3 linked regions of the Kluyveromyces lactis genome follow. The protein of the gene in region 3 purifies or fractionates together with the protein of the main gene of each other region. This does not show direct contact. Links are inferred from orthologs where the notes say so. Each region holds a gene or a part of one and is shown on either strand. Other genes may lie near its edges.

Region 1 (2,937 bases), on a different chromosome or scaffold from region 3:
CCTATCATCAACGGTGGTAACGGTTCTCGTGAACATCCAACTCAAGCCTTCTTGGATCTATTCACTATTCGTGAAGAATTGGGTACTGTCAACGGTATCACTGTTACCTTTATGGGTGACTTGAAGTTCGGTAGACCAGTTCACTCCTTGTGTCGTTTGCTACAACATTACCAAGTTAGAATTAACTTGATCGCTCCTAAGGAATTGAGGTTGCCTAATGCCTTGCGTAAAGAATTGCAAGATTCTGGCTTATTAGGTATTGAAAGTGAAACACTAACACCTGAAATCATTTCCAAATCCGATGTGTTGTACTGTACAAGAGTGCAACAAGAAAGGTTCGAAACCGAGGAAGATTACTTGAAGCTCAAGGACACTTACATTGTTGACAATAAGATCTTGTCTCATGCTAAACAACAGATGGTGGTCATGCACCCACTACCTCGTGTTAATGAGATTCGTGAAGAGGTTGACTACGATCATCGTGCAGCTTACTTCAGACAAATGAGATATGGTTTGTTTGTCAGAATGGCATTGTTAGCCATGGTTATGGGTGTTGAATTATAAAGGAGCTAAACAGATTCGCGTTCGGAACTTTTTTCAGAATCAATCCAAAATCAAACAAAATAATTTAAACATGGAAGTAAATCGTTCATTTTACTTTAAATTCATCAGAAGGAATTCCTTAAACTAAGAAAACTCTTTTTTTGTGGGGACTTGAAAAGAGATATTTAATCGGAGGAAGAAAACTGATGAAATATGACTAAACTACCTTCATCTGTACCATAGTAATACAAGGACTTTCATAGTAGGAAAATAACTTCCTTAAAATTACAAAGTGACTTTTATCTATTGCACTTTCTATTCTTTGAAATGCTCAAAATTTCAGATACAATTAGTATATTTTGACATATATATCATTTTGTCGTACATATATAGTTCAAAGGTTTATCCTTACATTCACATCTGCATCGTTTAATACATTAATATTTCGCATCGACTTTATTTTCATTCTATTGTTCTCTTTTGTTTGAACCTATTCAGCTGTCAGTCTCTAGGCAAAACCAGCAACATATTAGTAAAAATGATCACGTGACAGATATCAACGCTTTCCCTTCTCTGTCAGAATATCTCAAAATCTTAATATGAAAGACAGTTGTATTTTTTTGATTTGATTAAGTTCAAGTCATCTCCGATGATAGAATTGCCTTGAAATGTGGTACGTTGGGCTGAAATAAATGAAGTACCACTATATACAGATGCTCAGAACTACTTTTAAATACAGCATTTCTTCAATACGTTTATTTTGCAATAATCGGGTTCTCCAGAACGAATCAAGGGCTGTATCGGATCTTCTTTTTAACCTACCAACATACAATCCAGCGACACATCGAAAGAGCGGTAACAATTCTCCACATAAAAATCGTGATAAACACCGCCATAGAAACGGTAATAAAGATCAACGGAATAAAAAACTTGTTTTCAGATGGAATAGTGGAACAGAGAAACAGCAGGCAGCTGCCAACTCGGTGCTAGAGGAAATACTAGCAATAAATTCAAAGGGTAACATCAAGGCAATCAATCCAGAAACTAGCAAGCTAGAAGAAGCCAATATTAGGAACTTTTTGAAGGGCGTTAACCTTGAGATAAATGGGATAGCTATGGTGAGTATCGATAATGCTGCGTCCGGAGATGTTCGTCTACCCATTGTCAAAGAAGTGCCAACAAGACAGGCATTAAAGAATTATTCCGACAAACTATCTAAAATTAAAGAAGAAGAACTTATAAAATTGGGTGTCAATATAAAGAAAACTGGCCGTCGCTCTCCAGACTCGAAAGCGGATTCATCTTGGAAATCAATCAAGGTTTCATGGCAAATATCGGATTATGATTTGAAAAAACAGAAATGTAGTGAAATTGTTTCTAATTTGGAAAAAGGTAGCAAGATTGCTCTTTTCATTAATGATAAAGACTCTTCTAACTTGTCACCTATAGATGAGGAGGAATTAGAAGCGATGCAGGAATCTTCTATTTCTAAAAAGGAAATGAAAAGAAGGGAAGAGGTTTTGGAGAAGCTAAACGAAATAATCAGCGAATATTCATCACAGATTACACAAGAAGGTTTGATCAATCAAAGAATAATTATGAAAGTAACTCCAAATCTTGTAAATACTAATAATGGAGTTGATAAAAAAGCTCTCAAGGAGCAACGGAAACGGGAAAGGCAGGAAAAGCTGCAACGCAGAATTGAGAAGAAAAAAACCAGCGATTCCACCGAATAACCAGGAAATATCTCGGACGATAGACGTTATAATGGCATATGTATCTTGTAAATATTGATAATTAGCGTACATATATCGAAAAATTTCACGTAATTGTGATGTATTCTAATGAATCAATAATGCTCCGATTAGCGAAAGGTCATGTAAGTCACCGTAGCCAAATTGTGGAATGGAAACTAATAAGTCATCTAATGGGGACTCAGCCAAATTGGAGCCGAAATTAGACCAACCCTTTTTCTTTTGCTCGGGGTTAACGAATTCAAGGTGTTTTAAAGCGGTTATGAGCAAATGTTTGGATCTCCAAAGTTCAACTGTTCTCTTCATTTCTGACATAGAGACACTCCAGATAGCACCAGCGCCATTAAAACTGCCCGGAGAAGAAAGAAATAGCCTTTTCCGGGAGTGTGAGAAGTGAACACCCTTACCAAACTCAATAGAGGACTTGACAGTGTTAAGGTCAACTAATGTGTCAAGTTCCAATATTAACCAGACCTCTAGTGCAGAGTTGCCAGCATCTTTGAATATGTAGACCTTATTGAAGAGCAACTGTGATATTGCAATATAATCTACTTGATCATGAGTCCATACGTGCATTTCTGCACCAAAGAATCCATGTTCAGAGGATGCTATAATATCCCCCCATTTCCATGGGACGTCT
Region 2 (3,678 bases), about 250 kb from region 3:
CCTCAAACCTGGTAGGGATATCCGTGTCATAAATTTCATCTCCAAGAAACTTGTGATGCAATTGATGATATGGTCCAAATGACGCACTGTATGGGATACCAATTGGGGTATTTGTGAAAATGGCAAACAACTTGTTGTGGACAGGTTTCTTAAATGCTAGGTTGTGAGACAATTCATGGATTGCCAAGAAGATATTCTGGTTAGCGGTAGCACCGATGACATATGCAATGATGAAAAATTTCCAAGTAAAAGGATGGGTATTTCTTAAGTAATAGGAAAGCGATAACTGAAGCGACACAACACCAATGATAATCCATTTAGTCAAAGGTTCGTGGCCCATAAGTCGCTGCACTTCTGGATGTTTCTTAATTATGGCATGTCTTCTTATAGCATGGGGTTCTTTATGTGCGGACCAGTAGAAGTTATCAAGAACTTTAAAATCCTCATCTGCACTTGGAACGTCGACAAATTTCTCAGAGACTTTCAAATCTCTATGAACAATTGTCATGTCTAAGGGTCTTAATGAAGCTCTCTTCTTGTTAAGATAGCGATTCCGATGCTATATCAAAACTTGAAAGTAAAACAATGCCGATAAAAAAACAGGAACCGGAAACACGCTTGACAAAAATACAGTTCTTGATCCTTGATTCCAAGCCTGCCTAGAATCTTATTATTGAGTTTGATACTGATATTCTCAATGTAACCACACCAGTTGGATCAGGTATAAATCCTATGTTTATGCGTGACTATTTAAAAGAACTTAAGCTTTTAAAATTTAAAATCTAAAATCCTTAAATCCCGAAAAAGAACTGATCTTATGATGTGATAAATTCAAACACATACACAAACCTAAACGCAAGCAAAGCCTGCTAAGAAATGTGGTTTATACTTAGAAAGAAATCTGTAATTGGAATTACAATATATCTTTAAACGAACAAAAACCATGCGATGAGATGTTGCTGTTCCGTGTGCTCTCGAGCGATAGAAAGAAATTTTTCATTACGCTTTAAGGGAAATGGGAAAAAGTACGGTCACGTGAAACAAAGACACAGAGAGGGAACGCCCTGTTCTAACATCAGACACAGGGTTGGTGGTACCAAGGGCCCCACCAATATCTGTTTAACCATTAAATATGCAAAACTGATATATTTCGATCCAATCCTGACATACTCTAAATCATTTCAAATGTCAAACGATGTGACAAACCGCTGCAAGATTATGGTTCAATCTTATACAGGATTTGCTTCCACCCCGGATGAATGCAATTATACGCGTACATAAGTTCTGTACCCCCTTTGCTACCGACCTTAAATTGCTTCGCAGTTTGGCTATCTTGTCTTATTATCCCCTTTCAAGTTGGAGAATTGCTCAATCCATTAGGTACTGAAATTGTTCAACAATCGTAGTAGCTTTTTTTTTTTGGTCACTCACTATTCTCCATCTGCTGAAACAAATTTGAACCTGAACATTGAGTGGAACGAACTTGACGAGAACAGAAGAATGGTAGCAGTCTCCCTTTAATTGCTGCATACTTAACTTACGTTGATATCTTTGACCAAATATATCTATATATACCGAGATCTACAGCGTCTTATAATATCCTGGCGGGTTATCAACATCATCTATTATACCCATTTTTACCATAGCATTCCATAATGTTGAGGCATTCCTATTGTAGAGCACAGCAACAGTCATTGAGACACGTTTTGAAGACCAGATTGGCTGTTAATCAATTAAGATTTATGTCTGAAGTTAAGTTTAGAGTCGATTCCACTGCCAGAGTGGTCACTTTGGATAGACCAAAGAAATTGAACGCATTGGATGTTGAGATGTGCAGTGCCATCTTGCCCACATTGCAAGAATATGCCAAGAGTACCGTTAACAATGTTGTTATCTTGAACTCTTCAGCTAGTCCTAGGGCCTTCTGTTCAGGTGGCGATGTAGCTCAAGTAGCCAAGTTGGTTAAGGAAGGAAATTTTGATTACGCTAGAGAATTTTTCACCAAGGAATACTCGTTAAACTTGGCTCTAGCTACGCTGAACAAGCCGGTCATCTCTATCATGGACGGTATCACCATGGGTGGTGGTGTCGGTCTATCTACTCATATTCCATTCCGTATTGCTACTGAAAATACTCGTTGGGCCATGCCTGAGATGGATATTGGATTCTTCCCAGATGTCGGTGCCACTTTCTCTATTCCAAAGCTTACCACTGTTGGTGGTTCCAACGGACAATTGGCTCAGTACTTGTGCATGACTGGTGACATTTTGAATGGTGCCGATGCTTACGTGGCTGGTGTCGCTTCTCATTATGTGCCACATGATCAGATCTCCAACTTACAGGCAAGATTGGCTGAGTTACATTTGACTGAAGCCACTTCTCAATCGACTAACCGTGATGATGAAATTTTCGATGTTGTCAACCATGCTATTGAGGAATTCAACGCACCATTACCAAGAGACTACAAGTTCAAGTACACTGCTGATGAACTAAACGTCATTGAACAGTGTTTCGATATCGGTAACAGTTTGAAGCAAATCTACTCCAAATTGGATGAGGTCATTGCTGGAAAGACAGTATCACAAACAGCTCAGGAGTTTGCTGCAAAGACCAAGCAAATGCTAGCTAGCAAATCCCCTGTTTCTTTGGAAATCGCAAAAGAACTTTTCCAAAGAAACTCCTTCACTGACATTCAAACCGCCTTGACCCAAGATTTGATCACTGCTACTAAAATGTCAGAATCTCCGGACCTATGTGAATTTGCTGAGGCCACTAGTCATAAATTGCTAGAAAAGAACAAGACCCCATACCAATGGAAGATCAAAGATTTGAAATTAGCCCAAATATCAGTTCTAATCTCACAAAACTCCTCAAACCCGGTGTCGTTGATCCGCCCATCAAATTTAGTTACTTTCTCTGAATACCCACATCATAGCAAGTACCAATTACCAAACGAAACTCTAGTTGAGAAATATATCACAGGTGCTGACAACCATGGAAGACAAACTGCAGTTACTAAGAAGGAAGCTGTCAAATTCTTCCAACAATTGAACCCCGCCACGAAGAGTAAGACCGGCGTAGACTACTTGGTAGGTTTTATTATTGACAGAAAATGTGTTCCAAACCCAGATGGTTTCTTAAGATGGAAAACTTCCTCTGCTAAACTATAAAAACTATACATTTCGATTATATAGTACATCGAACACTTGTAAATACACTTACGATTAACCTACACGCAATAAATTTCATTATCCTCTCTTAGAATGGCATTGTTCTTCGGCAGTACATAAGGGTGCCATAAGTTAAATACAGCTCTAATTGATGCGTTCTACTTTAAAACTCGTTCATCTACCTAATTCTTTGTTATATTTTCCATAATTACGGCATGGTTTAAAATTTGAAATTACTGGAGTTTGATCCTTTAAAATGAGTGTGCAAGAAATAGAACATCAATATATAAGAACAAAGCTCCACAACGCATCATATCTGCCTTCAAATTAAAGATGTCTGGTTCTGATATCCTTGATATCAATGTACCCAGGGTCATTGATACAGATGACTGTGTTTATTGTTTTGAAACGATGAAGAATAAAGATGAGGGTCGTGAACATTCATTATTCATCTGTCTACGCTGCTTTCAGTCTTTCTCCGAAGAGCATTGGGAACTACATCAAGAGG
Region 3 (2,580 bases):
AGCTGTCCAATACGCCAAGGCCATGGGTTACAGAGTGTTGGGTATCGATGCTGGTGAAGAAAAGGCTAAGTTGTTCAAGGACTTGGGTGGTGAATACTTCATTGATTTCACCAAGTCCAAGAACATCCCAGAAGAAGTCATCGAAGCTACCAAGGGTGGTGCTCACGGTGTCATCAACGTCTCTGTCTCCGAATTCGCTATCGAACAATCTACCAACTACGTCAGATCTAACGGTACCGTCGTATTGGTCGGTCTACCAAGAGACGCCAAGTGTAAGTCCGATGTCTTTAACCAAGTTGTGAAGTCCATCTCCATTGTCGGTTCTTACGTCGGTAACAGAGCTGACACCAGAGAAGCCATTGACTTCTTCTCCAGAGGTCTAGTCAAGGCTCCAATCCACGTCGTTGGTTTGTCCGAACTACCATCCATCTACGAAAAGATGGAAAAGGGTGCTATCGTCGGTAGATACGTCGTCGACACTTCAAAATAATGAAATCTCTTCCGCATTCAAGTCATGACTTTTTTCACCTTTTATATGTTTCCCTCCTCTCTCCGTTTATATAAAACATATCTGATCATTACTTCCCACTTATTCCGCCTGGTGTAGTGCTACTAGATCAATCCAACTTTATAATAAATCATTTTATAGACCTTCAAAATGAGACACGATATAATACTTTAATTCTTTAGCTCTTTTATAATAATTCTTACCACCCAAAAAAAAGGGAACTAATAACACCATTATACCATTACAGTACACATTGCGACCATCACCCTTAAGGTGAATACATCTGACCCCTAAAACAACTGGTACGTTCCAACTAGCTGACCTCTTAAGTACATCGACAATGTTCGCTTCGACCATCACACTGTACGAGTTGAAGTTCCATGTCTAACTCTGTATACATTGTCACTGGGAGCGAGCCAGACACGGATCTGCATTTCTAGATTGAAAAACTGAGAAAGTGAAAAATTTGGAAAGCTCAACCAGAGGTAGAGATAGAGATAGAGACAGACATAAATTAAGCTGAGCAGTCTTTATCTTAGTCGCCTGAGGTCTTTCGTGAGCAGTTTCCACAGGGATAGAAGGGGAGACTAAAACCAAAGATCAGAAAAATGTTCTCACGTTTAACTGGTGTCTCTTTGAGACAGGGTCTTACGGTACAGAAAAGACTATTCTCTTATGCCAGGCCATTGTTTAACAGCTCGGGGTCTGAGAGGACCGGTTCTGGTTCAAGGCAGTACAATGATGGCGCCCGTGCTGGTGCAGAATATGGTTACACAGGGACTAGAATTGTGCCTAAGTTGTCTACTTTTTACTCCGCCAACCCACATCACGAAGCTCATATCGATAACTTAGAAGCGTTGTTGAGGAAATATATCAAATATCCTACCGTCCAAGTGGAAGAAAGGCCTTCCTGGTTGAGTTTGCAAGAGTACGCTCTAATAGGTGGTGGGTCCCGTTTGAAATCTACCCAGTATAAGCAGCTTTTGTTCATGTTGAACCGTTTGAATTCTATTGATCCACAGTTGGTTACCGATGAGATTTCGAACACTTTAGCGAAATACCATAAGAAGACGAAGTTGCAACCTCAAAGAGATACTTTGAAGCAATTAGACGAGTTTGGTAGAAGTTTGGCCATCGGAAGAAGAAAGACCTCTACTGCCAAGGTATATGTGGTTCGTGGTGAAGGTAAGATCTTAGTTAACGACCGTCAATTAAACGATTACTTCGTTAAAATGAAGGACAGAGAATCCGTAATGTATCCATTAAAAGCCATTGACAGTGTTGGCAAATATAACGTCTTTGCAATGGTTTCCGGAGGTGGTATTACGGGGCAAGCCGATGCCTTGATGCATGCAATCGGTAAGGCATTGGTTGCTTTCAACCCACTATTGAAAACTAGATTGCATAGATCCGGTGTCTTGACAAGAGATTACAGACACGTCGAAAGAAAGAAGCCTGGTAAGAGAAAGGCAAGAAAGATGCCTACCTGGGTTAAGCGTTGATCTGATATTAGTCTCTGACCTTTCCATTAAAAAAAACACATGCTTGTTTCACAAGTCCTGTACATATATAGCAATTTTACATAATTTAACAAGCTCCTTTCACCTTTTACTCTGTCGTCCTACGTTAGCATCTCGTAGTTCCATTAGTCGTAGTTTCAAAAAATCTTGTAGATCCTTGTTCTTCCTTGTTCGTAGTAACATATCTTCAGACGTAACAACATTTCTGTTAGCATGTTGGGCAAAAGCTTCCAAATCACCACCAACCTCACATATCTGCTGGTAAACCAGTTCAGTAAGAGTGTTGACATATTTTGAATTGTATTTTACATCTTCTGGTAGTTCTCTTTTGATAATCGATTCCACATAGAACCACAGCTTCCCGCGTAACTGGGATCGTAATCTCTTCTCTTCATCCATATTTGATCAACTGAACGACGCTACCATGAATAGAGCCCACAGGACAATGCCAAGTCAGGAATTGCCAGCTCAAAACTCTAAACGAACTGCTCAATCGATTGTAATCTTGTATATCTTGCATATCTTGGATATCTCCGCATTCCCAATGCATAT

The links.
Region 1: the proteins of MRPS9 (region 3) and AIM23 purify together in Saccharomyces cerevisiae (affinity purification with mass spectrometry; 3 studies listed by BioGRID). This does not show direct contact. The link is inferred for Kluyveromyces lactis from reciprocal best matches to the Saccharomyces cerevisiae genes MRPS9 and AIM23.
Region 2: the proteins of MRPS9 (region 3) and EHD3 purify together in Saccharomyces cerevisiae (affinity purification with mass spectrometry; 4 studies listed by BioGRID). This does not show direct contact. The link is inferred for Kluyveromyces lactis from reciprocal best matches to the Saccharomyces cerevisiae genes MRPS9 and EHD3.

The regions. Positions count from the first base shown.
Region 1 is NC_006041.1:1,376,864-1,379,800, forward strand, and holds AIM23 (Aim23p), read left to right. Parts: upstream 1-1,235; coding exon 1,236-2,279; downstream 2,280-2,937. Other genes in the region: URA2 (bifunctional carbamoylphosphate synthetase/aspartate transcarbamylase), read left to right, coding at 1-564; KLLA0_E15401g (uncharacterized protein), read right to left, coding at 2,385-2,937.
Region 2 is NC_006042.1:1,715,235-1,718,912, forward strand, and holds EHD3 (mitochondrial 37S ribosomal protein mS47), read left to right. Parts: upstream 1-1,655; coding exon 1,656-3,170; downstream 3,171-3,678. Other genes in the region: KLLA0_F18656g (sphingolipid delta(4)-desaturase family protein), read right to left, coding at 1-508; ubiquitin-specific protease UBP14, read left to right, coding at 3,504-3,678.
Region 3 is NC_006042.1:1,963,514-1,966,093, forward strand, and holds MRPS9 (mitochondrial 37S ribosomal protein uS9m), read left to right. Parts: upstream 1-1,116; coding exon 1,117-2,010; downstream 2,011-2,580. Other genes in the region: KLLA0_F21010g (zinc-dependent alcohol dehydrogenase), read left to right, coding at 1-490; MHF1 (Mhf1p), read right to left, coding at 2,110-2,427. UniProt on the Saccharomyces cerevisiae protein: Component of the mitochondrial ribosome (mitoribosome), a dedicated translation machinery responsible for the synthesis of mitochondrial genome-encoded proteins, including at least some of the essential transmembrane subunits of the mitochondrial respiratory chain.